Drosophila melanogaster: one gene and its partners. The protein of the gene in region 1 interacts with the protein of each later gene in a pairwise test. Each region holds a gene or a part of one and is shown in the gene's direction. Other genes may lie near its edges. The genes, in order: Argk1, CG42495, Cys and whe.

What was found.
Region 2: the proteins of Argk1 (region 1) and CG42495 interact in a two-hybrid assay, tested with the Drosophila melanogaster proteins (one large-scale study listed by BioGRID).
Region 3: the proteins of Argk1 (region 1) and Cys interact in a two-hybrid assay, tested with the Drosophila melanogaster proteins (one large-scale study listed by BioGRID).
Region 4: the proteins of Argk1 (region 1) and whe interact in a two-hybrid assay, tested with the Drosophila melanogaster proteins (one large-scale study listed by BioGRID).

Annotation. Positions count from the first base shown.
Region 1 is NT_037436.4:9,061,088-9,070,881, reverse strand, and holds the start of Argk1 (arginine kinase 1), read left to right. Parts: upstream 1-4,854; 5' UTR 4,855-5,174; intron 5,175-6,364; 5' UTR 6,365-6,374; coding exon 6,375-6,418; intron 6,419-7,933; exon of another isoform or gene 7,934-8,070; intron 8,071-8,414; coding exon 8,415-8,975; intron 8,976-9,794. Other genes in the region: CG4911 (uncharacterized protein), read left to right, coding at 1-177, 235-366.
Region 2 is NT_037436.4:18,662,428-18,670,338, forward strand, and holds CG42495 (uncharacterized protein), read left to right. Parts: upstream 1-4,933; 5' UTR 4,934-5,007; coding exon 5,008-5,152; intron 5,153-5,220; coding exon 5,221-5,366; intron 5,367-5,419; coding exon 5,420-5,557; 3' UTR 5,558-5,708; downstream 5,709-7,911. Other genes in the region: MYPT-75D (myosin phosphatase targeting subunit 75D), read left to right, coding at 197-899, 1,065-1,190, 1,252-1,327, 1,713-1,833, 1,897-2,393, 3,271-3,827; Capr (caprin), read right to left, coding at 6,607-7,911.
Region 3 is NT_033777.3:14,565,405-14,572,893, reverse strand, and holds Cys (Cystatin-like), read left to right. Parts: upstream 1-3,249; 5' UTR 3,250-3,285; coding exon 3,286-3,470; exon of another isoform or gene 3,471-3,528; coding exon 3,529-3,724; 3' UTR 3,725-3,791; downstream 3,792-7,489. Other genes in the region: CG7987 (uncharacterized protein), read left to right, coding at 1-471, 533-2,161; CG8066 (uncharacterized protein), read left to right, coding at 4,109-4,230, 4,295-4,487; CG31313 (uncharacterized protein), read left to right, coding at 5,496-5,555, 5,614-5,729, 5,888-6,086; CG14852 (uncharacterized protein), read right to left, coding at 6,424-6,948.
Region 4 is NC_004354.4:21,399,315-21,406,994, reverse strand, and holds whe (what else), read left to right. Parts: upstream 1-4,222; 5' UTR 4,223-4,277; coding exon 4,278-4,535; 3' UTR 4,536-4,656; downstream 4,657-7,680.

The DNA of each region.
Region 1 (9,794 bases):
CCATTCGTAATGATGGCCTGGCGCTGCAAACAGCTGGAGGAGATCGTAGTGCACGGGTACTTGATGGATCCGCATAACCTCGTGGGCATTGCCCGTCTTCGGGGTCGGCAGCTAAAGCGTCTGGAAGTCTCCATGATCGATTGGTCAGGCGCTCCTTTGCTGAACGCCTACAATGAAGTGAGTTCTTTAAAACGTCCTGTAACTAAACGAGTAACTTAATTGATTATCCTTCAGGAGATAAGCACCTTACTGGGACAACAATGGTCACCCATCAGCTTTGACAAAATGCCGCCATCGTTGTTCTACGACAACGATTTACGCGATCAGTTCGTGTACGAAATGCTGCGCCAGGATCTCCGCCAGTAAGTGGTCGAAATAGGAAACTACTCAAATATAACCAAAAATTGAAGCAGTCATCAAGTGAACGAAAGAAATGAAAACATGACACGTGATCAACTCGAGCGCATAGAAATTAATTTATAAATTGCAAAACCTAATTACGTAGCTAAACAAAAAACCCAAAAGAATAATGTAAGCAAAAAGAAAATTTAATCGTCATAATCGTCACCAAACCTTTTGATTGGCGAGCATTTCATAGATGTTAAATTTTCCTAATTTCTTAGCCTTTGTAATCAAAATCGCGATTAGCCCTTGTTTATTAGTACAAAAGCGACAGATCAAGAGCGACAGGAATGTTAGGAGCAAAGCAAAAGACTTGAGCACTTCACAAATTTATGTAATTATGTAACGGGGCGAGATGAGTTTGTTGAAACCTGCTAGAGAAACATCATTTTATAAGCAACAACAACTGTGATTCAAGCGAATGCAGCAGATGCAAATGCAAGCCAGTGTGAAAGCAAATGCTATACCCAGCTCTCATACAAAGAATAACAAAAACGACAACAGCAAGTTGTTAAGCGAATTGTCTAGTTAGCTAAGTTTAAAGTAACAAAAAGTGTTGAAAATGTTTGTAAAACCAAAACTACGACCAATGTCAAATTGTTTGCTCAAAACGACGCAATTGGCACAAATTGTTAACCTTTGTAGTAGTGTGAATAAGTACAGAATCTGGCGCTCAATTGTGATAAACCAACAAACAACAACATAAGCAAATGTAACAACAACGAGAGCTAGATCCTCGTTCGCTAAGCGCCGCCATTTGTGTAGTTTAAAGTGATATTACCAGCAACAGCAAAGCAAAATGTAAGCAAATACAAAACACCACACAGATATATATGTATTGTATGTAATAGCCAAATGGAGCTAAGGAAATAGCTGTCGTGCGTGTGGTGCATGCGTTGTGGCCAGATAAACGGGCCAAAAAGCCAGGCAATTATAAGACCCAAATCCAACTCTTAAGTATTTTGTAGCACAGGCATTAATTATACAACTATGTACTATATTTAACCTATGTTTGCACAAAACAGCAGCGTGTTGTTACGAGCCGCGGCTCATCCTCCGCAGACATGCTTGCCGACCAACAAGTACAACAGCAACAATGACAACATCAACAGCAACAACAACAAAAATGGTACCTGAAGATCATGCCGAGCATTTAGAGAACAACCGAACAACAACCGCAAAGTACTTGCTCAAATGTAACAATCTAAACAAACACAAAATCTATTGAAACAGAAGACTGAACGATAAAGATGGTGTTGACCTTGTTGTCAGAGCAAAACGGAGGATGGCAATTGGTTTCTGGGACAAGTAACAACCGCAAACAAAATGCGATCTCACAGATAACTCCTACAACTATCCAATCGACCATCTATATTTGTATGTATGAATGTATCTATATGTAACCAATGCATGTAATCATTTTTTATGAACTGCAATAGCAAATATTATTTTTTGTAAAACGAGTTCAATTCATGTGTAAAGCGCGAAGCAAACTAAGAATGTTTGTCAAACAGCAACCGCAACACGGCCACAGAAAAGTCAAATCAAGAACAGAGTCTTGGGTCATAAAGAGATTGCAAATCGACGGCCTACATTATGTAACCAGACCTGTTTGTATGTGGCTGTGCATTTAATTTAAGTCTAGTACGTACCAAACACAACAACCAACACCAACAACAAATGTGATAAAAGTGTCATGCTGCTTCCACGAACAACATAATGTGCAAAATAAGACCTAAGATACTGCACTATTGAAGCAATGAGAACGGTAGTAAGCATTGGAAAGACAGGGCCAGATTAATGGGGGATATAGGTTATATGGGCTCTATTTTATAGCTCCCTGATACACCAGTTTCTATAGTATTATTTTCCAAATTAACCGCCTAATTGAATAGCTACAATTGAATTCGAAGTTGCCTTCAAAAAGTACTCACAGCGCGTTATTAAATTAATAAGAAAAAGAGTAAACTCCTAATATTGTTTATCGAGGAGTTCGATTTGTAAAAAGTTAAAGGAAAGTGCTATTAGCCAAAATAATGTGTCATAAAGCTATAAAATAGAGCTAGGACTGTAAAAGATCGTTAGCTCAATATCCAGCCCGAACTAATTGTCAATCAATGGATTCATTCAATTACAATCAACGTAAATGAAACAAGTATTAAGTTTTTCTGTTATACTAGTGTCACTTCCAACGCTGCTGTATATGAGTAACGTTCTTTTGGTATACTTACTACAAAACAAATATATTTTATATGCCATTTATTGTATTTAAATTCGATGAGAGCGAAAAGAATTTTGTAAACCATTCCACAACCACAACAAACCAATGCGATTTATGCTAACGTATGTACTGATCCAGTAGCAACACTACAGAAGGAGGAAAAAAGACCAACCAAGTTTAAGATAATTGTTGATCGAGAATAACAACAAGTCAGGGTGTTAATATATGTATGTATGTAGGGTATGCTCGATGTCGACATTCAGGGGAACAACAAGTGTGACATGGGCGAGGAGGGTAGAAAATCCGAAAGACGATATGTATGACAGCCGTGCATTAACAGCAATGTTTATATATATGTATATGCAAGTTATGCTTAAAAGTTATAAGAGCAAAAGTGAAGAAAGCTGTGATACAACAAGATCCAACAAAAAGGGCAAACGACAACCGACAACACACAAAGATAACACCAACACATTAAACTACAAAAACAACAGACAAGCCAATTCGAAACGTGTGCGACCAACAAAAGTATGTTAACAACCTTTCCGGAACTAAGAACCAGTATAAGTACCGACCGGACCATCTGAAATGAAATGGCCAACGAGAAGAATTCAAAATGAACTATAGGAGATCGGATCAGATCCAGTAGTAGCTAGCTTAGCGGGTTAACGAAGGACGAACGCGGGGGAACCAAAGTTTTGAACCGAAGTGTTTGAGTGAATCAACAGCGTGCGGAATTAGATTGATATTCCAGTCAGGATGAAAAGTGAAGATGAGAATGATTCAAATGTTAAATTATATATCGATATGTAGTAAAATAATACACATACAAAATGCACATAGCTTAAAATATATGAAAGCAAGCGTTTTATTCAAAGTCAATTTCCATTTGATTTGCAATGATTATGTTTTGTGCAAGATTTTAAAGCTTAATCAACCGAGGCCAACAGCAGTTTGTGTGGCATATGCAATATCATTACAATGTAAGACAACCAAGATATATAAACCAATTAAAGCGTAGCAAACAAAATGCATTCAATTGAAAAACCAATAAAAAATGTTTGAAACTTAAATCAAAATTGTGCTCCTAATTATTTACGGAAGGGGCTCGAAAGTTATCCTTTTCAAGTGCTTTAATCTTTATTTTCGTTGCATACTTCATGGGTTGTGTTATACAATATTTAGTGCTGTAGGCCGAAGGTAGCCGATTAAAAGTACATAATTCGTGATAATAAAAACTTTTTGTCAACAAAAACAGAACACCCACACTCGCAGGAACTTCCGCTGAGCAACGCAAGCGCTCCAGGATGTTTTCGAGCTTTTCTCAGTCCTTGAACTTTTGACCTTGTTTCTGGTCGCCTTTCTCGCTGCCGCGGTTATGTAAGCAGCTGTACGTATCATTATGCAACCTGGTCCACGGGATTCACGGACTCTGTGCGCTTGCCATTGCATCTTTGCCGTTGCAGTGGCTCTCAAACTGCAGAGTCTTCGGCGAGCGATAAGACCCCAATCATCATCACCCAGGCCAATTAAGTGGGCTTTGCAAAATAGATAGCGCTGTTGAATGAATGACTGAACAGTACGCTCGAGTTTATTATCTGGATTTATTTGCCCACGACAGACAACCGGCGAAAGGCGTCAGCAGCGCTTTTTCGACCAAATTTGATAGTTTTGGCCTGGGCCAAACGCTGCAGTAAGCAAAATAAATAGTAAACATTGAACTGATAGTGCCAATTGGAAAAGTGACTCGTCCAGTGCCCAAAAACTGTTTCCGAAAATTCTTTTCTTTTATTGATTAGGCAGCCTTTTGACCAGGTTCAACGCGATTATTGACACATAGCGGTGGCATAGCGTAAGCCTATGAGTAACATTCCGAATCGGAGAGTACACGGAAATAAATATTGAAATCGTGCACAGAGAAAAATAATTAATTAGTTACAGAAAATTCATAGATTTACTATTAGTTATTACTACATTGAAATATCTACATTTAATTATTTGCTAGTGTCCTCTAATAAATATGTATATCCTTTATAGTAGTTAACTCTGAACCCTCTCTGTTGGAATCTGATTAAAGTCTTCTAAGTTTTTTTCGGGTGTACCTGGCACAGAACCCGTGGGTTCGTTGGGAAACGAATCTCGTGAGAAAAGCTTCGTCGCAAGTGCAGCCACAGCTAGGAAACATTGGCGTCGGCGCTCTCCGTGCTCCCCATTCTCTTTGGGGCTCTCTCAGTTGGATGCCGTCGTAGCCGTAGTCTCGTCGCTTTTGCCGCCAGTAGAGCAGTCGATTTTCGCACGGAGCACGACAGTCGAAAAAAACTTGAAAGAAGCATTCAACAGCAGAAGAGTGCCAGTCGAGAGAAAATTAATTTTGTACCTTTACTCAAAATCAAACAACACACAATCGAGACCAGTCCTCGATATTTGACCAGCTGTGAAGCATTTAAACGAAACGAACCTTTTGATATACGAAAAAATCGAACGGAAAACCCTCCGGAAAAGCACTTGCAACTTTTTCTAGTCGTTTTATTATCCAACACAGGCACAAAAGGTGAGTGCACGCAGAAGGGGTCATGCTGCAAGTCCCCAGTTGTTTGTTATGTGTGGCATGCTGCAACAGTGAATGAGTGTTATGGGAATGAGTGTTCTTAGGCACCACCACCCACCCATTTTCCACGCCCCAGCCACCCACTCATACGTTTGCCGTGCGATGTGACGTAACTGTCAGAGTCTGAGTGTGCTATTACCATCGCAGATTGCTCATACGCCGCGTGTGCAAAAGAAAACAAACGCAGACGGAGCTTCATGGTGAATTTTGCTTGCCTTTGCTCAAATCCGAGGGATAAACAAAGCTCAGGGGACTGCAAACAGTGCGCAAAATAATCATATTTAATTGATCGATGGCAGCACTATCTAAATTTAGAACCCTTTCGACCATTGGGCGCCATCCGGTGCACAAAAAGTTCCCCTTTTTCCGAATTGATCTGCAGTGCACAGAGGAAAATTTGCAATTTGTTTGCTTGTGAGAATACATATTAAATGTTATGACATATCTTAAAAATAAACTTTGCAAACCAAATACTAGGCAGGTGCCTCAAATATTTCATATAAAGAAACTTTCATTTATAACTTTTTAATTGAGGCAAACTTTAATAATGTTGGCGTTAGTAGGCTTCAATTGGGGAGGAGTTTAAATAAGAAATTCAGAAATTCAGAAATCAAATTTATGACAAAACATTTTCATTTTCCCATTTATGAGGTTTTTTCTGTGTACTGTTTCCCATCTCTGGCCGTTTGCCCAAAAGTCTCGACTTCACGTGCCTCGGCGCTCAGCGTTCTGCGAATTTGGCATTCTGCATTTTGCATTTGCAAACCCATGCGCGCTTTTGTTTATAAATAAACCTTGAATAATGCCGGCATATATTCACTGCTGTCTTTTCGCCTGTTCAACTGTTTTTTTATCTGTGTGCCTTGGGTCTTAATTGAGCTCTGGCTCTCTGGAACTTACTTTTCTGATGAGCGCCTCGCTCGATTGAGTTTTTTTTTTTTGCATTGCTTGACGGCGACGTCATTTGTTGCGCTTTTCGAGGTCGCTGGGTGAATCAGATTCAGTGCCAGTCCAACAAGTGCATGTGGTGTGGAAATTGCCATTTATAGTCCAATTAATTCGTATACATTAGCGGTCAAATTGCTTTGAAAATCACTTAACTATTTACTCATTCGATCTTCTCTCAATTTCAGCTAATACAAAATGTTCGCTTTGTGGTATTTAACTTTTGCTGTCGATGAAATACGGTAAGTGCAAAAGGGGTTTTCCACAGTTTGGCAAGCACTGCTGTGCCCCCCACAGGGCGGATGAACGTTTTGTGTTGCCTACTTTTCGGCTGGGTAGTGTTAATGGTGAATTGTAGTTTGGGGGCGTAATGAGATCCTTTTTGGAGTTAAGCTTAAAAATATTCTGCAATTCAGAAAAAGGTCTAAGTACGTTTTAAATGAAAAGTTTCTGGTATGTGATTCGAGCTTTGGGGGATTGGGTAATACAAATAAATTTACTGGCTTTTAATGGTTATGCAATGCTAATAACAACACCTTCACCAAGCAAAGCTACTTTCTTGCATTTCATAAATCTTGGCGATAACAGTAGTCGCACTTTTGGGACGCAATCATTGCAAACCCGATAATCTTATCGCTATCAGTTGTTGAATTAGACCAATTTAGCTCTACGTTTCCGTGATCGTTATGGTTCGAAGGTGCTAATGCGACTGTGTGTATAATTTTCCTGCATTTGGCAAGAAAGTTAGTCACCGAGCGGTGTCACATGATGAACTATCTGTCCGTTTTCCCATCTCCCACTCCCCCGATCTCGTCGAATACCCCAGCCCATAACAACCGGCTTTTGTGGCTCTAACTCTCATTCGTGATAAGTGCAATCGGCTGATCGCACACATTCAAACATTCTCTGATTTGCACATGTGCAAAACAAAATTCGCATTTTTTTGGCAAAAAAATAAAGAAAAAAGCGTCCAGTTGTTATCTGCCGGCAATTAGCGTAATAACAAAAGTGATAATTGAAGTTTGGAGCGGTATTAGTTTTTTTCGTTCTCATCCATACAGCCGGCATTTGGGGCCGGTATTTTGCCGATTTGCCGATTTTATGCCGGGTGGAGCTCGTTTGTTTGCTTATCAATTTGCCGCACGAGTTTTTCGTCAGCTATTGCCGTTTTGGCCTACGTGACAAGAGAAATGACGACGCCGGCCCAAAGAAATGGGGGAGTGGAGAAAGTAATTTCGTAACTGGGGAAATGGGTGGGAAATAAGAAATTGTGGTTACAGTTCTAAATTACTGCCATTTGTGGGCATTAAAGCACTGAAACATTTGCGTCTAAGCAACACGCCCACCAATAGGCTAACGCCTTTTGGCAAAGTACAATAAATAACTGGCTCTATTTTGTTTTCTTATCTATAGGGCATTATAAAAGAACTATGATTAACTCTATAACAAAAGCTAGAAAGTGCAGTATTTTCATACTTTTCAAATTTAAATCAATTTCAAAAACCAGGGCTGCCTTAGATCCTTCCAGTGTGACTCTACGAACTACTAAAAGGCTTCATTTACTTTTAATTATATTAAAATGCATATGATTTACTGCAATTACTGCATATTGAAAAATCGTTATTTGCGACTATATTTGTTTTCAAATATTTATCGAAATGTTATGGAGTATAGGGATACACCAATGATTTACAAGGGCTGTCAAAGTTTTCAATGCACTAAGGAGTGGTCACACTGCTTGTAACTTTACATTGTCCATTTTACTCTTGTCATTTGGCGAATTAGGACGCGTAGATCGCAAATTAATTTTATTCTTCGTCTAAAAAGTCTTATTTTCTATAAAAGCAATTGTTATTTATTGATTTTCAACGGTAGGCGGTGCCTATAGTTAAAGGTGGGTAATGTAATCATGGAATATTAGCGCTAAGCGCGCATTTCCTTGTTTCACGCTTCGCCGCATTTATTCTGGAACTTTCTGTAAATCGTAGTGGAAAAAAGATGCTACAGTAGACATTGCATACAAGCGCATGTTAAAATGTTAGTGACTAAAAATATAAATTATCAAATGCAAACAGTGAAAAAAGCATCATACCTTACACATTTCTCATTCTCTTATCAATTTATCCATTTTTCATTTGATATTTTATTTGCAGTGCACTTTAGTTTTATAGATTCCCTAATTTGATATTTTATTTATTCATTTTTTGTTTTGTTGCCATTTCCCCTTTTCATTTGTAGCAAACGTTTAGCTTGGTTATTTAGTTCTAACAAGCCAGCAGCGCCTGCGCTCGACAACAAGCCAGCGAATCCAGCTCCCGCCAAGGAATCAGCACCAGCTCCTGCACCTGCTCCAACTCCAAAGCCCGCTGTAGTACCACCTGCTCCTAAACCAGATCCCCCAAAACCAGCGCCAGCGGTAGCCAAACCCACTCCGGTTCCAGTTCCTGCGACAGCTCCCGCTCCACCGAAGGAAGAACCTGCTCCAAAGCCCAAACCGGAACCTGTGCCATCACCCGTAGTTGCCCCGCCAAAACCAACTCCTCCCCCAGCCAAGCCCAGCAGTCCGCCAAAACAAGCCGACAAGATGCCGATCCCACTGCCAAAATCCTTGACAGAGGCCAATACCAATGGCCAAAATGGCAATGCCGCCAATGGCGGTAATGTGGATGAACTGGTGTTCGGTGGCCAGCAGGCCGAGAAGGTGCTTCCAGCGGCCAAGGAGGCCAGCAATGACTTCATCAAGGGCGAGACCAATGCCTTCATCCAGTCGATTAAGGAGGCTCAACAGTTGGGCGAGCGGTAAGCTTTAAATCCTTTCGTTTTATGTTTTGTTTATTTAAGTCTTTACTTTAGAAAACCCTTGGTTGCCTTTGCTAACCGATAGATTCTATTAGCTGGTATCTCCTTATTTCGGGCACTTTGTTACAACATTCTTCATTTATTTCCGAAAAATATGTATTTTTAAATTTCATTTTTCCTCATCTCCCATGGCGAGAAGTGGGTTCAATGCACTCTGGTGACTTCTCGGCGAAAATAGTTGCCATGCGGCAGAAACTCAACCGCTTGGCGACAACGGTGCTGCAGCATCAGCAAATTCGTTGGATCACCATGATGATGGCGATGATGATGATGATGATGATGGCTATGGGTGGAGACCACAATTTGCTGTTATTTTTGTCCGCTTGGGCGGACAGCTCGGCTCACATGGCGTCGAGTCTTTGGGATCTTGTGCTGGTGCTGCATGTGCAGTCTACGGTTTATTTATGAACCCGAACTTTGCCATGTGTTTGCTCACCACTTTCTCTAATTGTGCACCATTGATTTGCCATTAATATTAATCGGAGACAAACCTTGGCGCACGCAAGCCCTGGACTGGACACTTGTCCTTGCCCAGGTGTTCAAGGATCTCTGCCCGACCAGCGAGGTAGGCAGGTTCATTGGTTTTTGGCAGCCTGCCCAAGTGAAATGGAAATGGAATGGGCATTGGTGATGATGTGGCAGTGCCGGGCCATTATGAGACCTGTCGCGTCGCTGTTGTCAGGTCACATGATCTCCCCCATGCAAAGTTTATTTATATTTGGAAACGCAGCAGAATGTGGCTGCTGTGCCGCCACAATG
Region 2 (7,911 bases), 9.6 Mb from region 1:
TCTTAGTTAATTTGGATTAGACAATAAAAATTCGCCACCTATTTTTTTTTTTTTCAATAAAACTCCGAATAGGAAAAGAAATTGATGGCTTTTGTCTAAGTAAATCCCCTAACTTCCGCCTCTTCTTCATTTTGAAAGCCATTAAACTTCCACAACTAATCCCAAATCTCATCCTCAATCCCTTATTGTTAATTAGACGTCGTGCGCAGCAGCTGAAGCTGTCCCGCCAGAAGGACAAGGAGTGGGCCAAGTTGCAGCGGGCGAAGGGCAACACGGCGAGCGGCGGCAGCGGAACCGGATCGCTGGGCAACGGGCTGATGAACGGCAACGGAGATACCACGCACCACTTCCGGCACGCCAATGGTTCGGGCACGTTGAGCGGCAGGCGGCACATATCCTTCGAGAACAGCGTGGTGCTCCTGGAGGCGGCATCCCGGAACGACATGCCCGAGGTGGCCGCCCTGCTGCAGCACGGAATCACGCCGGATGCCGCAAACGAGGATGGACTGACGGCGATGCATCAGGCGTGCATCGATAACAACGTCGAGATGCTGCAGCTGCTGCTGGAGTACGGTGCGAATGTGGATGCGCAGGACAGTGATAAGTGGACGCCGCTTCATGCGGCTGCCACCTGCGGCCACCTCGAGCTCGTCCGCATCCTCATCCGGCACGGCGCCAATCTGCTGGCCGTCAACACCGACGGCAACATGCCCTACGACCTGTGCGACGATGAGAAAACCTTGGACTTCATCGAGGGCGAGATGGCTCAACGGGGCGTGACCCAGGAGCTCATCGACGAGACGCGCTCCTCCACGGAGCGGATTATGCTGCGCGACCTAATGGAGTTGGCGCGCACAGGAGGAGATTTGGAGGAGCCGGACTACCAGTGTGCAACGCCGGTAAGTGGCGTCTTCTTTGAGGAACAAAACGTAGGAATTTTGATCCCAGAAAGAAGCAAATAAAACTTAATTCAAAGAATAATTCCTACACAAAAAAGAATCCACAATTCATTAAATCCTCACTTATTCCCTGTGTGCAACATTTAACTTATCTCAATTGTTCAGCTTCACATAGCTGCTGCGAATGGATACGTCCGCGTTGTGGAGTTTTTGTTGGAGCAGCATGTCAACGTGGATGCCATGGACAAGGATCTGTGGACACCGGTGCATGCCGCCGCTTGTTGGGGTCATGTAAGTGAAGCCTCGAAGCCGAAAAATGGGAATAATAATTTTAAATATTTCCTTCTTTCAGCTTGAGGTGCTGGAGATGCTGGCCCAGTGTGGTGCTGATCTGAATGTTCGCAACAAGGACGACGAGACTCCTTCAGGTGAGAATATGCGAAAAGGTTGCGGCACTGAATCAACGGTTATCCGGCTAGAGCAAAATAACCATGAATATGAAATTGAGCTATAAATTGTTGTTAATGCGACACGGAAAATGTGTAAATCTAGACTATTTGTAGTAGGAGTAGGAGGAAAGCGCTCTCAGGTGTGAAGAAAGATTGCATTAATTTTTTAGCTTGGCAGGATCAACGATTTATAATGGCTAACTCGAAAAAGTGTTACCCATTTCCGTAAAGTTCCTCCTAGCTCAGTATTTCAAATAAACACATATAGTACATACGTTCATTTAGATGTTAGTTGCCATAAACATAAGAATACACTTAAACGTTTTAACTGGATATTAACAAATCAATCCATCCGCCTTTGTAGACATCTGTGAAGATCCCGAAATCAGGGAGCGAATCGAACAGCTGAAGACGGAGCAGGAGAGCAAACGACTGGCCGAGGCGCAGCGACGACGCGTTCGACGCTCACAGAGCAACAACACAAGGCATTTACATAACATTTATGAGCCATTAAACATAACCATTAAAACTAACTATGCTTTCCACAGAGCCCAATCAGTGCGACGCACTAGTTTGCGAGACAAAACGCTGACAACCAAAAAGGATGCCGTCGAGGAGACCCGGCTGCGTCTGCAGGCGCAGGAGGCGACGGACTCGGAGGCTCCCTCATCGGCAGGGGATCCGCTGACCAATGGCTATGGTTACGGAAACAACAACGGAGAGAAGCGACCCTCGACGGGCAGTTCGAATGGCCAACCACTGCCGCACTCCAAGTCCGCCGATGCGCTGGATAATGCCACCGCCGCTTTGTCGGCCAACGCCACACATTCCTATCCGTCGCGCCGTCCACCGGATGGCCGGGAAAACGATGAACTGCTACGCCTGAAAGCTGCAGGTGCTGCGGGAGAGATGCAGCGAGCCACCTCGGCGGCGGCCGTCATTCTCACCGAGAAGGGTACGGCGGCCAGTGCCGAGGCCGTTCAAATCCAGTCGTCGAAGGAGGCTGCCAACGGCAAGATCAATGTCCAGGTCACCGTCCTCGTGGGTGAGTCAAGCGCCCTTGGCCACGTGTCAGGCTTGCTTCCGCTTTCTCCTTTCAACCAAAGCCAACCATTTACTCAAGCACCCCATCCAGACGCCACCTCCAACCATCCTGTTTGGCTCCCAAGGAGCGTCAACGTATCACAAGAGTTCTGCTTAAGCGCCATTCTGTCCCCGTGTCAATGTCAATGTTTAATGTTTATTTAACGACTCTACTAAAATGGAAATGAAAATACTTCCAACAAGCAAGCAGAGCTAACAGCATGAGTAGACTATAGAATGACGAATGCCCTGTAGGAAATGATAATCGATATCTTGGTTTGAGATTTTTAATAGGATAGCTTCGTGAGATGCATAGCTTAGTTGAGATATATTTTATGGAAATGACAGTCATTGTTGTAGTAAGATACTTTTTATTTCATTATGTTGTAAATATGCTTTGTAAATGACTTCTTTATTTAAATGCCTAAAGTGGAATAGCGTAAGCATATATTACTATTTATGTAAATTATTGCCATTTTAATAGCTTACTACACTAAATGGGTTTTCTGATACTAGAAATCGTACTTAGAAAACAGGGGAGCATGGCTGCAATAAGCATTAGCATTTGACTCGCATGTAACCTCCATCCCATCTACCCGATCACTCCCAATTGGTCAATGGGTATCTGCTAACTTAGTTCTCGGGAAAAGAAGAGAAGAAAAGTAAAATAACATTTGCTTGTTTCCGTTTCATTCTTTTTTGTTGTCGTTGTTGTGCCTCGTTTCGCCCGTTCTGTGTCGTCTGCCTGCCCGCATCATCATCAACAATAAAAACAACAACCACCGCACCACTAAACACCAAACACACCCAACGCCTTGCCAAAAACTTCCAACATCCAGACACCAATAGCACGCACCACCATCAGCAACATCAACAGCAGCAGCAGCAGCAGCAGCAACACCACCACCAGCAACACGTACTGCTGTTGCAGCAACACCAGCAGCTTCAGCAACATCAGCAGCAACAGCAACAGCAGCAGCAGCAGCAGCATGTTGCCTTGGATGGCTACAGCGCCACATTGGCCAATTTGAAGAAGCAACGCTCGCTTTCACGCACCGCCAATGTCCTCAATACTTTCGAATTGTCATCCCAAACAGCTAGCAATGCCCATCCAATTGCAGCAGCTAATGCCACAACAACTAATGGTTCTGTTTTAGGAGCCGGCGGCAGCAGCAGCAACAACAACAACAACCTGAGCACCAGCAACAACAACAACAACGGATCCGCACCGATCTCGACGCAGCCAACATTGGGTCACATGGGCGCGGGAAGCGTGCTATCCGACTTCGAGGGCTCCTCGCCGGCGGGCAGTTCGCTGAACAAGTTCAGCGGCATCACTGGCGACGTGGTCACCGATAGCACCAGTTCCAGTCGCAGGTGTTGCGTCCTGATGTAGAAACTTAGCGAACTACTAGAGTCACAGGGTATTAGAGCAGCCAGAATTGTCAGAGGGATAGGCCATTTGTTAAATGGCAAGAAAAAAGTGTCTTTTTATTAGATTAGCCGTATTCAGTGAGTGAATTGTTGAATGTTGATTACACAAATGCATGTTGGTTTTGAGAACGGGGTTCGATTCTGTGAGCTCCTAGATAACGGCTGAAAGTCGTTGCATTTTCCTAGCAGACACAACAACACACTAAAGACACACACAACCAATTATACGAAACAAATTTATACAAATATACAACCATATGTATACATTTTAAAGAATATTAAAAGAATTACGTATAAAATAATTGTGAGCAGTTTACCTTAGGCGATATATAACAACTAACTAAATCAAAATGAAAAAACATCAAAAAATATTTATATAGCAATGCTAAGTAAGAACCTAACTTAATAGATTTGCTTGGAGTGCATTAGGAATATCTGTGTTTCCGTGTGTGAGTGTTACAACCGAAACAGGCGAAGTATTATGCAACAAGTAAATATTTAACTAAATATATAGTACGATAGCAAAATTGTAGTTAAACCGTGACAGCAAAGTAAAGCAAAGCAATGAGACGAAATGCATAGCACTCAAGCAATTTCCACATATAAGTGTCTAAATGTTTGAATTGAAGGAATGTTAATAATGCCAGGCGGCATAGAGATTTATTTTTTAATGCAACTACTTTGCTCTGCGTTATGTAAGTTGAGTTTTGTTGAGAGGTACAAGAATATATGTATTATTTATGTAGCAGCGGTCTTTGTATATAAACCTACACAATTCCAAAAGATGCAAAAACAACGCGCAATTAGCAAATGAGACTTTTTCGATGAATGTCAAGGCATTAGCTGAACGTTTTGTAAAATAAACAAATGAAATACGAAAAAATTACACACAAATTTGATTTGATTTTGCGCCAGTTAGTTTTTTATATTCCTGTGCTTATATTTCTTATGAAGAATGAAGTTGAAGTAAATATCTACTCTTTTAAATCTCGCGCCAAGGTGCTCCACCTGGCGGGATTTTAATGAACCGCAAGCTTGTCATATGGAAGTAAGTTGGCAGCTTTGCGCATCAGCTGTTGCCTCGTTCGACTTTTGTTTACATTTTTATTGGTTTAAACTTATAAGTTTAAAGATCTAACCTAATGGAATCACTCGCAAAATATCGATACAGTTTGGTGGCTGGCTCCTTCGCAGCTGCAGGAAGCTTTTTCGGAAAACTTCCCAGCCACCTGAGCGCCCAAAAACTACTGAATACTTCGCAAATAAATGAAGACTTTTCTTATTTAGGCAAGATTGTGATTTCTTCAAACAAGCAAAATGTTTATAAATTTATAAAATTTTATTTTATTTATTAGAAATAGCATTACTTCAGCTGCTGCCACTAGTGTTAATGGTAACATGCAACGTTTGCAACTTGCGTTTCTTTTTGAAGGCCCTGCAAATGACTGAACAAACTTTAACGTGCGTCGTTTTAACTGCCGCTTCGAATTATGTCTTATCGGTAGGTGATCCACCGATCTATTTGTTCAATTATGATTACTGTTCGTTATATAGTTTGTCCTAGGTGCGCTTGTTTATCGGGAGCCACTGACAGTACTATCTGGCATCGGAATAACTCTCATTCTGGCTGGTCTTTGGTTTCTTTGCGACGGAGGAACAGTCGAGTCCGAAAAGCAGGACAAAATGGAATAGTAGGAATGGGATTTGCTTAAGATTAGCTTCTTTTATACACATTTTTCATTTGCCATATAACTTTCTGAAGCAGGGATAAAAATAGTTAAAGAAACTTAATTTTCCATTTGTAACTTTAAAATATAAAAATGTTGGGAACCCCAATTAGTCCAAAAAAACGAATGGTTTATATACTTTTGTTTAATGTATGTACTGTTTTGCAAATACATAGTTTTCATTTCATTTATAATGCACTGTTAGTGTGCACGCTTCTTCATTCACGCGGCAATAATTACAACTATTATGTTTTACGTGGTTTTGTATTTTTGTTTTCATCGTTTGTGTGTAAAAGTTTGGCAGAACAAAAAAAGGTGTTGAAATGGGATAGAGCATGACAGTAAGAGCACAAACTATAAATATATTTATCCCTTCGTTTATATATATAGGTAATAGTAATTAATTTTTATAATTCAGAATCGTTATTTAATTGCTAAGACGTATAAATACTTTTTATATTCTTTCTCTCGACATCTGTAATCATCAATCAGCTTCAACGCAGCCAAACAGACAAAAAGTAAAATCAAGCAAGAAATGGCAGATCCAAGTTACATACAAGTTTTGCCCATCTGTCGTTTGTTTTCCTTGGACGAAGTAGTGTTGTGTCCTGTCCTATCCTGTCTGGGAGTTTTAGAAACCCTTGGAGCGCTTACTTTCCTGTATTTAGTTGTAATTCTTTCGTGTTTCTAACAACTATTTTGTTTTATTATTAATACATTATCGAATAAACCAAAATCAAGGGAAATAGGTATAAATCGTATTGAAAAATGCGCACGAATTGATTTGTGTGTCGGCTTCATTTTCGATTCCCTAGTTGCGTTATAAAGGATTCTTTTTGATAGATTTCCATTTCTTATGGTTGAGAGTGGTTTGCGTAACAATAATTGTACGTCTACGTGGCCATTACTTGCATGTTGATGATTGGTTTCCTTGTTTTCTGTATGGAGGTTGTGTTTATGGTTTGCATGAATTGTATGTGTGTTTTGTTTGCGGGGTTAATACGTATTGTATGCTCAGTTTTTGTTCTCCAGCCCGAGTGGCATGCGTTGCGACTGGTTCTGACGGTTTATGTAGCCACCACCACCACCTCCCTGGTTGCCCGCTCCGCCACGACCACGATCGCCCATGGGCCTGCCGCCGCCATACGAGCCATTTACATTACGCTGCTGGTTGCCACCGCGCTGGCCTCGATAGCTTCCACCGCCGCCGCCGGAGGATTCGTAGCGCGACTCCTTGTTGTAGGTGCCACCGCCACCTCCTCCGTTCTGGTAGTAGTTGTTGCCTCCACCATTGCCCGACTCATTGTTGCGGAAGTACACACCGCTCGAATTGCCCGAATTGCGTCCGTTCGTGTTAGATGAGTTGCCGTATTGACGCGACCGGTAGTTGCCCCTGTCGCCGCCGTTGCGCCGCTCGTCACCTCGCCCTCCCTGATCGCGATCCCGGTTATCCCTGTCTCCGCCACGACGCTGATAATTGCCAGAGTTGCGGCGTCCGTCTCCTTGCGAGTTGTTCCAATGGTTGTTACTCTCGTTGTTATCGGCATAACCGCTATTGCCTCCGCCAGTGCTGTGGTCCCTGGGCGTGGCCCACTCCTGCTTGTGGCTGGTGTTGCTGCTGCCATTGGAGGCGGCGCTACTCATGGCATTCATCTCCGAGCTCCACTTGGTTGGCGGTGCCGGTGGCGTGGCCTGGGTGGTCTCGCCTTTGAGCACATTCGTCAGTGCTGCTGTGGCGGCAGCATTTGTATCATTATTACGGGCATGCCATTCATTGTTCTCGACATCTCCACCAGCACCGACACTCGAGGAGCTGTTCACAGATGACGGCTCATCCAGCTGCTGTAGATTTTGCTGCTGCTGCTGCTGTTGTTGTTGCTGCTGTTTCAGCTGCTGCTGGATCTGCTGTTCATAGGAAACAACAGCATTTTCGTATGAGAACCCTGAGGTCACATCGCCCGCCTGCATGCCAATGCCCTGAGGAGCAGGCTGCTGCGGTTGTTGGGTTGGCAGACGCGGCATAATCAGCATTGGTTGCGGCTGCTGCTGTGGTGGCTGTTGACGTTGCTCGTGGATCAGCACCGGCGAGAAAAGCTGCTGCTGCTGCTGCGGACCCTGTTGCTGGGGCTGGGGCTGCTGCGATGGGAACGATTGGTTGGTGAAGGTCAGCGTCAGTATGGCCTGCGTTGGTTCTTCGACATGGTTGGGCTGTTGCGGCTGCTGCTCAAATACCAATCCCTGATTGGTCGGAGGCGGCGGTGCTAAAGCCTCAGGATTGTCCAGTTCACTGTCCTGCAGAAAATGGAAGCGTCCTGTGCC
Region 3 (7,489 bases), on another chromosome or scaffold:
AAGTCGGTTGTATGCGAGGTGTGCCAGGAAGAATTCCCCGACGGTCGTACGCTCTCCAACCATCGACACTCGCACAGCACTACTACGCCTGGCAAGCTTTTTCCGTGCCTCGAATGCGGCAAGACATTTGGTTCGCGCAGTTCCCAGCAGATTCACGTACGGATCCACACCGGTGAGCGGCCATATGGCTGCCGCTACTGCTGGAAGGCTTTCGCGGATGGTGGTACTCTGCGGAAGCACGAGAGAATCCACACCGGCGAGAAGCCATATGCCTGCTCCGTCTGCCCACGCGCCTTTAACCAACGGGTAGTGCTGCGGGAACACATTCGCTCCCATCATTCTGGGCTGGATGTAGCGCGGAACACCTATCACTGCACAGTCTGTTCCGAAGACCTGGCATCGTCCAATGACCTTATTCAGCACCTGATCCAACACAGTGATTCAAACACAGCTAAGCAGCGACAGCCCGTTGTAAGTAAAATCCTTTGTTTCGAGAGACTTGATAAATTAAAAGAATTGAATTGTTTTTTAGACGGGACCGCGCAAGTACAAGCGTCGCCGTAAGCTACAGCCTCACGAGATCGCTCACATGCGGGCGGCGAACAAGCATGTCAACGGTGATGAGGAAGAGGCCATAGGAGAAGGCGATGCAGAGGAGTGTGCCAGTGACATCGATTTCTGCGACTTTGATGTGGAGAACGTGGACGATATCTTCGACATGGCCGAATCACCCAAAAAAGAAAAGCGAAAGAGGGGCTCGGCAGCCACAAAAGCTGATGCCAAACCCGTGACCAATGGGAAAGCGGCAAAACCTGCCCAAGATAAGGGCAAAGCTAAGCCAAGATATGATTCCACCAGCAGTCAGCAATCGGATCGCCTTTGGGAGGAAAAGTTCCTGCACGACAGTCAAGTGGCTCTGTTTCAGATCGATTCGCTGGTAGTGGTCAACGACACTCATTTGCAGCCTGCTAGCTCCGCTGTGTCTGCTAACATACCCAACACAAGAGGTGGATCGAAGCAGCAGGGAAAAGTTCAGGCGAAGTCTGTAGAAGGAGCCGAAAATTTGAATAGCTCAGCTACCACATCTGACACTACATTCTCCGCCTCCACCTCCACTGCCAGCACTCGGAGCCGCAAGAGGGCAGCAACCACTAAAACAGCCAGCAAAGCACCTCCTGCCAGTAATTCGCGACCTCGAATGATTCACACAGAGAAAGCCAAGGTGACAAAAGGAGTTGGCGGAGACTCCACTAGTAGTTCGGCAAAGAAAACGCGCTCGAAGACCTATATAAGTCGCACGGAGTCGCACAATCTGAGCCTCGACAAATCCCGCAGCAGTGCCTCAAATATGGTGGATGACTATGAAATCATTTCTCCAGCTACTCATCCGCCAAATCAGATCAGCTCCAGTCCCTTGCACATCAAACAGGAGCAGGAACAACAACAGCGTGTTCAACTTATGTACGATGATAACCTACTGATAGATGCTGCTCTGCTCAGGGAGAAGACTTATGAGAAGTTTAATCCGAGCATTGTTAATGATCTGGAGGAGATCCTCCGCTCTCCACTGAAGCACGAGAGAAATTCTCGTCTTCGCTTTACCAGCGAGTCATCCACCACGCCACAATATTTGCACGAAGAGGAGCAAAACCTTATAAAAATTGAACCAACTTCTCCGGATCTGCGGGAAATGTTGGAGGGTCAGCAAAGAGTCATCGCTCATAGCGGCAGCACTCCTTCGTCCTCTTCATCTGCTAGAACTTCCAGACATCTGCGACAAATCACTGCCAATGGTGCACGGGCAGGCAGCAAGAGAACAACAGGTGGCGTAGCCAGCAAGACGTCGGCATCCCCGGGAGTGGTGGCCAAAAAATCGAACACTGCCACCAAGGTGAGCAGCAGCAGCTCATCCTCGTACCTCTCGTACGGGGTGGATTCCTACAATGTAAACGTACCTGCCAGTGCCAACAACGGCGATGTGGGCAGCGGATTCTTTTCCATCTCGGAGGTCGTTTCCGCAGCTGACGCCGCGGATGCGGCTGCTAAAGCGGCGGCAGCTGGTAAATCGGAGCGGAAAACTCGCAGTTTCGAGTGCGAAATGTGCTCGGCCATCTTTTATGATCGCACCCAGCTGCTGGAACATGTGCACATTCACATTTAAATGGAAGCTACCTAAACCACTCGCCCGGAGCCTTGTATTTTTGAAACATCTTATCCTTATATACAAACAAAATCGGAGTAAATTACCTCAAGGTATCGTGCATCGAAAAATATCGTTGATTTATGCGTTATTTAAAATATGGAACCTAAACCTATTATAGAGAGAATAGTTCGTAAGGCTTTTAAGTTTGTACCTCAGCTTTTGTTTTGAAGAATTGGTATGCTGGAATAAATACATCATTAAATGGTTTTTCATTACCTTAAATTTTGCTATCACGTATAGATTGAATCTGATTGATAAGATGGGCTCATGTAACCTTTTCTGATGTTTGAAATCTCTCCTAGAAATCTTAAATTTTCTTGGAAACTGCGATAGTGGCATGTAATATACTTTTTATAATTGGTTAAATGTTTATAAACTTGCACATGTGGGTCTTAATACATATCGACTGACCTTTGTAGTACATACTCATAGAAACACTGATAAGAGCATACCGGAAGTCTGTGTGTAATTTGAAGCCATGATTATATGTTTTCATATGTGGTGTACGGTGACTTGTTTTCGGCTCATTTGCACAGATTTTCAATTAAAGCCGCAACTGCTAACTGAAGTAGAGATCAAAACGATTCTCACAGAAAAGCGGCTTTCGCCCATCTGATAAATCAATTAATTACCGCCAATGAGCCGTATTAGAATATAAGTAAACGATTTCATTTGCATATGCATATTTATTAATCATGGAAATAGATTCTTATTTAAAGGGGGCGCACCTTTGAATATTGACTATAAATATTTGAATATTGACTATAAATATTTGGATAGTAGCTGCGAAAATATCAGGACACGTAGATACCGTAGTTTATGTTCTAAAAAAAAATATTTCGAATCTTAAAACTATTTTTTCACTTATTTTGCCTTTCTAAGCAATTTTCTTAAATATTGTAAACCCCGAGTGAGGTTCTGGTTATTGATAGTTCTGATGATGGGCCAGTCAAGTCTTGGATCGATGGCATAGAGAGCCTATTGTATTTTTCCATTGTTGATCTCCCACTGAGATGGCAGGTATAAAATGGGCCACATCGCCGGGTGTTCATCAGTTCTCTCAGAGTCGTCGAGCGAGCAACATGAACGTAGTAAAATCTTTGTGTATTTTGGGTCTGGTTCTCGTCAGCTTGATTGCCACCCAAGCAGCCGATGAGCAGGTGGTAGGCGGTGTCAGCCAGTTGGAGGGAAACAGCAGGAAGGAGGCTCTGGAACTTCTGGATGCCACTCTCGCACAGTTGGCCACCGGAGATGGTCCCAGCTACAAGTGAGTTAGAACTGAGTTCCGAATTTAAAATTCATACTAATTGATCTGCTGATCTTAGGGCAATCAATGTGACCTCTGTGACGGGTCAGGTCGTAGCTGGAAGTCTTAACACCTACGAGGTGGAACTTGACAATGGATCCGACAAAAAGCAGTGCACCGTGAAGATCTGGACTCAGCCATGGCTCAAGGAGAACGGCACCAACATCAAGATCAAGTGCTCTGGTGACGATGGCGAACTGGACCGCACCTGGTAGAAGATTCTTCGTGAGAATTGCCCTGAAAGAAATAATAATAAAAAAAAAAACAAGATACACGTGATTTAAAAAATGATTTTTGATTAATTTTCGGGGAACTATTGTTGCAAAGTATCCAATATATTGTTGGGAAAAATAATAGGAGTGTATAAATACTTGATTTGCTTTGTTTACGTTCCGTGCTAACCAATTCCCATCGCTAGGCAATTACACACATACTATACATATACATATATAAGATACTATATATTTATTGAGATAACAACCATAGAAGCTTTCACTCCAACAAAAGCTCCAGAAGCTGACTCACAATCGGAACGGAACAGAGTGATATCATTTCATGTTTTGGTTTTGGTTTTGTTGAGTTTTGCTACTATCGCCGCCATGTCCAACGTTCCAATTGTAGGCGGGATCAGTCAGCTGGAGGGGAATGAGAGGAAGGAGGCTCTGGAACTCCTCGATGCCACCCTCGCACAGTTGGCCAACGGAGATGGACCCAGCTACAAGTGAGTTAAGGCTAAACTCGGTCTAGAGCTTGCCACTTATTAATTGATTTTACTCCAATTGAAGGGCACTTAATGTAACCTCTGTGACGGGTCAGGTCGTAGCTGGAAGACTCAACACCTACGAGGTGCAGCTGGACAATGGATCCGAGATAAAACAGGGCACTGTGCAGATCTGGAGTCGCGCATGGCTAAAGGAGAACGGCACCAACATCAAGATCAAGTTCCCGGGTGAGGACGAACTGGACCACACCTGGTAGAAGGTTTTACCTTAGACCTACATACAGTTTAACTCTTATCTTAAATGTTATACATATGTTATATACTGGACTTAATTATAGATACCCTTAGGGGGGAACCATATTCTTGCGACCTCAGGTAGCGTACAGAAGAGAGCCTTACCTTTACTATCTGGGAGGATTTGTGTACATTTGGTTACATTAAAACATGATCCGATGGAAAAGGTTCTCTTGGGTTTCAGGTACAAGCCGGTGAAGTAGGTTATAAAACTGTTCCGATGTTGGTTAACCAGTTCTGTTGGCATAACCAGTTTGTTTATATCTCAATATATATATCTCAATAGGTGAATCGTATTATCTTTTCTCTCAACTATTGTGTGTGTTTAATTAGTCAGCGTGGGCGTCATCAGCGGTGTCAGTGGATGTTACAAATAATAATTCCCCCTTTCTTGCTGATAATAAGCTTGTTTTTTTTAAATAATCAGAAGACCTTTCGAAAACAATAGACATTAGTAATTTATCAGAAACACAACTGGCAACTGGTAACTAAACTAAAAGCGTCAGTAAACTCCACCCCCTAAAGTCATATATTCATTCTTATCAACCTTCATTGAATAATCATTATCTCTCGAAAAGTAGAAATGAAAACTTTAAACATTTGCTAACGACTGACTCAAATAAAGGTGTACTCACACAGAATGATTAGTCCATACAATGTTAATGCTCCTGACCTGGGCAAACAATTAAAATGATATCACAAAACGACAGGCCTGTGCAAAACCAAAGTAAAATATTAACCAATAAACTGAAGATTAAGTAAAAAAAAAGATTCAAAACAAGCGGTTTCAGGTTTGAGTGCACACTACTTGGCGCCTCTCCTTCTTTGGGGGCCGGTTGGCGTTGATCGCGAATAAATAAATATACATACAATATATTCTCGGCGAGCAATCCGATGATCTCGGTTTCCTCTATAAAAGCGGTCTTCTATGCGCCGTGTTTGCTCAGTTTGGAACAAGTGTTTCGAGGGAAATGCAGTCCGTGAAAGTGATCTTTGTTCTGTCTGTGACCCTGGCGGTTGCCTTTGCTAACGTGAGTTCGAGCTGATATTGTTATTATTTGATATTTGCCTGACTTGTCAAAACAAAAGCCGAGGTTGCCGCCCGGTGCCCCGAAGCCGCTGGATGGAGATGACTTATCCAAGGCTAAGGAGCTCTTGGACACAACGCTCGCCAAACTTGCCACAGGAGATGGTCCCAATTATCAGTAAGTATAAGGTAATTAATTTTGGAAAAATTTCGATGATAAACGGCAACAGAACAAGTGTAATCTTATCAATATAATTAAAGCATGACGTGATTTATTTTTGATTAGAAATAACAAAAGAATGAGAGATTTTAAAATAGTGTTCATGCTCGTTTCAGGGTAGTGAATGTGATCTCGGCATCTAGCCAACTGGTGGCTGGGTCGCTCTACAAATTCGAGGTGAAGCTGTCCAACGGAGCCGAGACCAAGGAGTGCAACGTAAAGATCTGGGACAGGCCATGGCTGCATGAGCAGGGGGAGGCCACCAATGTGAAGGTCCAGTGCAAGGATGAAGATGTGCTCGAGAAGACCTGGTAGGGCGTCATTGCTGTGTTTAACCATACAATTTGCAATACAATAAAGGTGCAATCTCTGGTGCTTGAGAAATGGGACAATAATTTTTCGAAGCTTGCCTACTCCGGTGACTCCCAGAAATGATTGTGCTTATATCATGAACTGTGATAATTAATTTGTGCGGATTGTGCAGTAACCAGTTTTTCTTTATATTTAAAACAAAATGTTATCACGTCTGTGTGAATAACTAGCTAGAAGGCAAAAACCAAACCCAAGACGTCTTAACCGATCTTTTGGCGATACTTGCGAACTTTCTTTAGGATATGCAATTTATTTATACATTTATTTTGTAGGCACAAAATTAAATGCTATTGGTTCTGCTTAGCCTGTTATTCCTGTTATTGCGACGGTTCCTCCTGCGCCGAGCCTGCTGAGCCCGGCGACGTCGAGCGCGTTGAGCCCGCTGGCGGCGCCTCCGACGGTTGTTCCGCTTGTTGTTGCCGCTGTTGTTGCTGCTGCCGCTTCCGGAATCGGGGGTGCTATCTGGCGATCCTGTTGAAGGACTAGTGTTATCGCCTGTTGAAGGAGAGGTCGATGGGGAGGTGCTTCCATCAGTGGGCGTGGTGCTTCCATCAGTGGGCGTGGTGCTTCCATCAGTGGGCGTGGTGCTTCCATCAGTGGGCGTCGTGCTTCCATCAGTGGGCGTGTTGCTTCCATCAGTGGGCGTCGTGCTTCCATCAGTGGGCGTGGTGCTTCCATCAGTGGGCGTGGTGCTTCCATCAGTAGGCGTTGTGCTTCCATCGGTGGGATCGTCTTCGGCAAAACTGTAGCTGGAAAAGCACAGGACCAGAAGGCCAAGGCTCAAAAGTAGAGTGGTCGTCCTCATAGCTGGTATTGCCTTGAATGGATGGGCTTGGATGATGATCTCGAGATGATTGCTATGCTTTTATACCTCTTGTACAGTCTTTGGTACCATTGTAAGGATGGTCGACAGCTGTGACAACAAATCGATTGAAAAGAAGTTTTTCGTATTACCGAATTCCGACAGCTGCCCAAATACCACGCGAATTAGACAAAAAGCTTTTATTTAATAAATTCGTTCTTTCGTTCCTATTAAGACATTGGTTAGCCAAATACAGGCGGCATCGCGTATTTCATATCGGACAACATCAAGATCTAGTACAATATCGCGTTGATCGAAAGCTGATCGGTACACAACTAAGAAGTTAGTTAGTAGAATGGCGCTGTTTTCACAGCTGGATTTTAGGCGCTTTTTAAAATAGGCTTCTATTAATTAATTCTCAATACTCAATATTTGGCAAAACGGTCATGAAATTTTTGATTATTATTTTTCTTGCCATTTCCTATGGATTAGGACCGCATTCCAAACTGTCAAAATGATGGCTAAGCAGAAAAGAGTTTCTAAC
Region 4 (7,680 bases), on another chromosome or scaffold:
GAAAATTCCCACGGGATGGCCCGAAACCTCGATAGATCATAACCCAATCCTTTTCGACTGAATGAGCCGCCAACATGCATTACAGATTCCTTCCCCGAACCCGATCCCATCTTATCCACTTTGTTCCACTTGACTTGAATCCCTTGGTTGCTTTCTTTGGGTCAGCTCCCCGGACGACCACCACCAAACTGATTAGGAAAGCCAACAGAAAAATAAAGGATAACGAATCGATAGCAAGGGCAGGGGAAATGTGAGAAAACAAGAGGATTGAGGGGCGGAATCGCTTGCACCTCGTATTAAAGAGGGTCCAATTTATGGCCACACTTGGGGGAATACCGAACACGAAATTGCAAATATTTAGCCATATACTTATACGGCAACACACGCAGATATATACATAAGTGCACTTTCGAAAATGGGTCCATCCAGTGGACAGTTTTAAGTGCTATGTAAATCTGGCCTTTAAGTCCTGTTCAGAAAAGAGCAATACCTTCACATTTAAAAAACATTTCCTAAATTGTACTCGATCAATCGCAATATTTTACGACTTAGAAGTATGTATGGAAAGATAGCACTCTAGCACTCTTAGCCAATGCTGGAAATGCTGGAGAAACAATACCCGAAGAACTTCCTCCCAGTTCCATTGATTTTCGATCAGTGTACTTTTGGCACGAGTGCACATGTGCTCGATTGTATGTATCTGTCTATTGCTCATGTCTATGACAGCGGAGGCGAAGCCGCAGCGACGTGCCGCAAAATATTCGCCAAAAGCATGCAACCAAAATTGGAGGGGCGGTTGAGAAAGGGGCCTGGTGCATCGGTGGCCGGTGGTGAGGGAAGGGGAAAGGGGGAGAGGGGGAAGGGGGGATCGGGGACCGGGCTGGCAAGCCTTTGCAACATGTTGCCTTTGCCCTCTTGTCTCGCTATATTGTTTCGACGGCATGCGCATCAATTTCTAGACAAATTCAGCACACACCAACTTCAAAAGGACCGACAGAAAGTATTATGTAGGTAGGTACGTACGTACGAGTTGCTACGAGAGAAGGAGCCCCCAAAAAAGCAGCGAATCCAGCCGGTGGTTCAGTAGGTTGCTCTGGCTGCGCTTCATGTGTGCAATATCAAATTTGAAAACACAAACACAACACGGATGGCCGCAGACACAGACGGAAACCAGAAGGAGGTGTGGAGGTAATGGGGGGGGCGGACGCCAAGGATTCCCCCGGTGCAGGCGCTTAAGAAGTTTCAGACATGAAATCAATTTGTCTTCCAACTCCCACGAAAACGAAAACGAGCCAAGAACGGCAAATGCAACAGCGAGGGGAATCCCCGATCCACGGCCCCAAAAAACGGAATGAAAAGAGCCAGAAAACTGCTGCGGGAAAACAGAGGCGGTTCCCAGATACCATCAACACGAATCGGGAATACGCTTATCCAATCGATTCGAGTATACCTGCCATTCGGTTGTATGTTAAATAAAGGGGAAAATAAGGAAGAGCTCGAAGTGTGCTCAATACAGGTAATCTTCAGTCGTTACTATCATCTTGACTGTAAACCACTAATAGCTGCTTTCGTTACGTTTTTACTACAATAGTTTGAGATCTGCTTGGCATTCAAGGCAGAATGGATAAAATATTTCTGCATTTAAATATACATATATATAAATATATATATATATATCCCTAAATTGTTAATCTGTAATCATATAGCACATGATAAGACACACAGTTGGAACGGTATCATACTAGTTTCTTGGTTATTAAATAGGAACTACTATTGTATTACTTGACCGAATACTGTGGATGCCCTGCCATCGATGGTCTTTCAATGGCATGAAATGAGCAGGCAGCACGGAACAGATCCGCATTCGCATTCGCATCCGCATCCGCTTTTACATCCGGACTCACATCCTCAAGACCATCTGCATCCGTAGGACTCGAGTCGAAGTCGTAGTCGTAGTCAGAGTCGAATGCAGTCATGAGGCAACTCGCATGCTGGGATCCACACATGTGAAACGGTTTGTGGTGTTGCAATAACTTGTATTTTAAGTTTACTCACTGCTGGGATTCAAAATTTAATTTCATAGTGCGATGCGTTGTTATTATTTTGCATAATAACATTTCTGGCCCCAGTTCACTCAACCGAGCTCACTGATGGTTTGAGGTTGGAAATGGGCGTTTGGGAGCTTTTGTAGTTTCGCCAGATTCACCAGTTTCGGGAGTGGAAACTCGAAATTGGAGCTTGGCCTGCGGACTGACCGATTGTGCAATCGAATCAGGCCTATTAGACCCCGTTTGGCGCATTAGCAGTACGTTCCGGATGGATATGGATGCGGATGCGAACGAACGAGGATGCGGATGATGCGAATGAAGATGCGGAGGTGGGGCAGGCGATCCCATGACCATGCGAACCGGACTTCGACACCAGACACTAAATGCCTCATCAGCATTCCGGTGAGTGTTTATCTGAGGGTGTGAGTGGATTTGCGTTCGGGTTAATCAAAATGTGACCGATGGCAACGACAGCTGACCGCAAATCAAGGGAACGTCCGGGCGGCCAATTACCCCAATAATCAGAACCCGTTGGGAAATCTTTCTAATCGTCCTTGGCAGCAGTCCTGTGGACTGCTACTTGGTATAGATAACTACTAGCTAATAGCTGGCATGTGAAAAATCAGCTAATATCTATATCCGTATCCTTTAAGCTCTCATTAAATTTTTTAGCACACGAATAAGAAATTAAGTTTAGATGAACTGATGGTACAGAAAATGTAATTTATATCTGAAGAGCCATATATCAATCAAGCCATAATTGAAGCGACCGCCAATTCTTGAGGTTATAACGATTATCCTGTTCCCTCCGATTGAACTCAGAAATGAATCCAGACATCTAGAGCTTTGTATCGCATCCTGCGAGTCCCTGTCGTACACCCATGCTCTCCATAAAGCTACCACATAACGGCAGCCACATAGGAAAAGTGGAAAGTGCGGTGCTGAAGTGGAATATCCAGTCCACCGAGCTGGTTTTAGAGCGTCGAAATTGCCTTTTTATTGACAATTCACAGCACGCGCCGTTGAAACAGATCATCAAAGGTTATTACGACTACAGAAAAGGTCCTTTTGTTGCTGTTGTAAATAGATTCATAAGCAACACTACATGCCGGCAATTGCGAGACAGGAAAATAAGCGAAAAGAAATCCTGCGAGTGAAAGTGTTAACACTTAGGGTAAGCTATACACTCGCTGCAAGGATACTATATGTGGATATTCGAGAGTTGGTGCGTGCACTTCTCCGCGGGATAAAGGCAAATTTCAGTCTGAATGTCAAAGTTTGAGCCTGGCAGTACTTTGAAATATTCATAAGAACGAACACTAAGAAAAACAGGGTTAAAGTTAGCTCTCAACTACGATAAATAAAAAAATGTATGCTGGCTAAAAAAAAGAGCACGAAATAACGAAATTTAATGCAAGGTCCTGAAAATAGGCTCGTGTTGCAAAAAACCGGAAAGCAAGAAGCCGAAGCTCAATGTTGAAACATTTGTTTAGTACCAGAGATATGAATTTCCAAGTAGAACTCACACACGGTCATAAAGCAATAAAGCGGAATCATGTGCAGAAATTTTTATAAGTTAGGTGTATCATCCAAGTGGCAAATGCTCCAGGATCTTAGAAATGCGCGGAGTGTGGGATTTGTGGGGGCGAGACAAGTGCAAGTACTTTCCACTTTTTTTGGCCAAATCCCAGCAAAGAGCTTAAGGTTTCAGCTCAATTGTTTTGCCCGACTTTATTTCATTGCCATTTTTATATTTCCCCATCTTGGGTGTGCCGAGAAAAGCTTTAAGCTAAATCAAAATGCATATTTACGGAAAAGAAAAATCTATGAAACAGAAATCTTATAGTTAGATACTTTGCTAAAATAAAAAAGAAACGAAAAAACCTAAAGCTGTTCCAATAAATCTACATTTTATTCATTAGATCACCCGGAATAGCTTTAGGAAGTAAGTATAAATATAATGAATCTAAAGTTTCACAACCACGAGGTTAGTTTGTTTAATATTTTAAGATCACCAGTTGGCCAAGTATTTCCATTATGAAGGGTTTACACAACTTCACTTGGGTCATCGCTGTTTGCACAATGCTTCTGTTTGTCCATCGAAAACATAGAATTGCAAAACACCTGCAATAGATCCGATTCCGTAGAGATCTCCGAGGTATATATAGGGCTCGGGTGCAGTTGGTGAAGTCAATTGAATTTGCTAAGTCAATCATCTACAAAATCAAAATGCGTGTAATCTTCCTCATCGTTGTGCTCGCCATGGTGGCTCTGGCTGCTGTCCAAGGACGTCGTCCTCCAGGACTTCCGCAGGGAGGTCTGGGACCACTTCAGGGCTCTGGAGGACTCCAGCCGCCGCAGGGAATACCTCAGGGACCTCCCCAGGGACTCCCACAAGGACCTCCCCAAGGTGGCAACTCATCCTCCTCCGAAGACTCTTCCTCCCAGGAGAGCTCCAGCGAGTCCTCCAGTGAGGCGTCCGCCTAGAAACTCGATCGCCGAGTCCTTCATGTAAAAACATTCAAAAATCTTTAAATAAAGATATATATTCTGCTTATTTCAATATATAAAACCGTCCACCGATTCCATTAACTGCACCGATTTCCATTTCGAACTCCGAGTAATGGTTGCGTTGCTCCTGCCCGAGGAATGGAAATGGAAATGGGCCTGGGTGTGGGTGTGGGGGCGTGTCTCAAATCGGTTGCCTAAATAAGAAATCATTTTATTTGAAAAGTTTCCCTTTGGCACGCCCCCTCCAGCTGCCACCCCACTTTTTGGAAGGCAGAAGACGGCGACGTCTGCGTTTGGCGACACCAGCAACATCGGGCGAAACAAAAGCAACAAGGGCAACAGCGGTACAACAAAGCGAAGACACCAACAATAAGCTGAAGCAGCTGAAGGCGTTAGGAAGTACCCACACGACTTGGAAATACCTATTGTACGTATGAATTAAAAGCAAAAAAGAACAGCATAAAATATTACTTTCAAAGAGCGTAAAGCTACGTAACTAACAAGGCAACTAGATAATAAGCTATTAAGATAACAACTATTTGTTAAATGGCTTTAAATGATTAGGTACAAATCAAAGGATATTTCGAAATGATAATTGTGACAACTGATAAATTATGCAACTGTATAAAAACCACCGATAACTGGTTTCAAAAAATTAAATTTATATATCCCCCTTTTTATCCAACAAAAACACATATGTATGTACAATATAATTTTCGAATGGGTAATCAGATAGCGCATATCCTGTCAAAAAAGTGACTGCCAAAATAAGACCAAAACGATGAATAGCAAAGGCAACAAAGTTAAACTGTAACAATAACCAAAGTCAAAGTTTGTCGGCAAAGTTTTCGCCTCTTTCGTCCTTGTTGCTCTCCTTGTTGTTGTTGCATGCGTGCGGCTGTGTGTGTGTGTGTGTGTGTGTCCACAGGATACAAATTCATTTCAATTGGTTATATGTAGAGAAATGGGTTTGAGTGGCTTGGCTGAAGGAAGTTGAAAAGTGGAAACGACGAGGAATCTGTGTAAAATGAGTTTGGTTTTTTCCCCGCATTTTATTTTATTTAATTTTTTTGTGTTGTACTTTTCAAGATGAAACAAGTTTCACGTGAACGGGGACCTTCCCCTGGGCCGGAAAGCCATCCTGCAGAAGGATCCTGGATTTTGGATTCTGGGCCAGGAATTGCCGCATCGCATACCTGCAGACTTCGCTTCACTTTCCTTTGGCAGCGAAATGCCAAAAAAATGCAAATAAAACTTTTCTTTTGTTTTTCTTTCGGCTTTTTGCCCACAGTGGCTTAGCAGCTTAACCCTTACAGGGCCCACACGCCGAGCATCCGCCCACCGGGAAGCAACAACAAGAATGTGAAAATCGCAGACAAAAAACGACGAAAACAAAAAGCTGAAAAACTAAGTGTGGCTATTTTAATTTCACTCAAAATGCAACGAAAATCGACCAGTTGCGCACTAATAAGAGTTTAGTAACGACAGTGCGAAACGTACAATTTGGACAAAAGAGAGTTTGGAGAGACAGATTCCGTAGGAAGAGAGTTTGGAGGAACGGAGTCTGTAGAAAGAGAGTTAGAGAGAGAAACAGTGAGACGGAACAAAGTAGAGCGGGACTACAGGAGAACTGAGAGCGTCGGCGTGCCGATTTAAGGAAAGCAACGGTACCAAGCTGGACTTTGGACCTGGATAACGGTAAAACCGTGCAGTTTGGTTCTGGAGACTGGAAATATCGAGGAATAGCGGGTTAGGGAGGCATACATAAGCCGGCCGAGCGCTGAAAAGTCAATGTTCGACGCAACAAGGGAGCTGTAGCACTAAGAGTTAATAAGGAACAAGATCGCTAGGTCGAGACGTTCGGGGCACGAAAAGTCTCCGAATAGGGCTAAGTTGCGTCGCCTTGCTACACTACGAATTGAGACCAGACCCTGGCTTTAGCCCGGCGAGTCCGCTATCGTGTGAGCAGGAGTGCAAAATCCTAGCAAGGACCCACGTGTGTGGTGGGATTGTGGTGAAGGCCGTGTCGACTGTTTTAATGTTCTCGTAACGTAGACCAAGCGATCGCCTGAGCAGGCGTGGTGCCGGCACGACCAGTCAGAGCAGACGTCTGGTTAACGCGTTGTCATCTCGCCCGGCGATAGCCTGGAAGAGGCAACCATTGACTACCGTGAGTCCGCGGACGACAATAATTCCCAGCCCAACGAGTATAGCACCCAGCAGCGCAGCCCACATCGATCAGGACAACACGAGCCGCAGGACAGCAGATACAACGCTGTCGAGCAGGCCCGTCCATTTGACTCGGTACAGGGACTGTGGCGTGAGCCGGACGATTGCACGGAGCATCTGCAGGAGCGGAACAGGCGTCTGGCGGGACCGGCCGCGACAGAAGGTTGCGACGAGCAAGGGCAGCCCAGCACCTGTTAACCCTAGTCTGGGAACGGTGACGTTTCGGAGGAGTAACCCTCCACGGGAGATCGAGTGTAAAATGGACGAACAATAAAGATCAAGGAAATAAAAGGTACTAAGTGTTCGTTCCTATACCAAATCTTAATTTTTTTAGCTTTTTTAGTTCCGGATATAACACCGTTCGTATGAACGGACAGACGGACGGACTGACGGACGGATGTTTTCAAAGAACTCATTTAGGGTATCATTTCTACGTGTGTAAAGCAGCTCTAAACAGCCATTGTTCTATACCGGCATTCTCAATTGCACACTCGCGCAGACGCTTCCACACTCACACACACACAGAGCCAGAGGCATTTGAAAAAAGTGTAGACAAATAACAATTGAAGCAACAAGACCAAAAACTTAATTAAGCATTTTGTTGTACGATGCTGCAACAAAACAAATTCCTCTTTAAATAAAGCACCGAAGCAATTTATTCCAATTAACAACAACAACTTCATGGTATGCATATGTGCGAGCGAGCGAAACGGTGAAGCCGGAGAGAACCGAAACGCTACTGGCATCGGATGGAAATAATTGAACAAAAACACTTTTCAACACTGCAAATGACAGTTGCGTAAATTCCTAGAAAATATTCGGGGTCGTTGGTTGCTGAGAGAACGATGCATGTAAATCATACTATTAGAAAGAAGACGAACTTTGTATACAA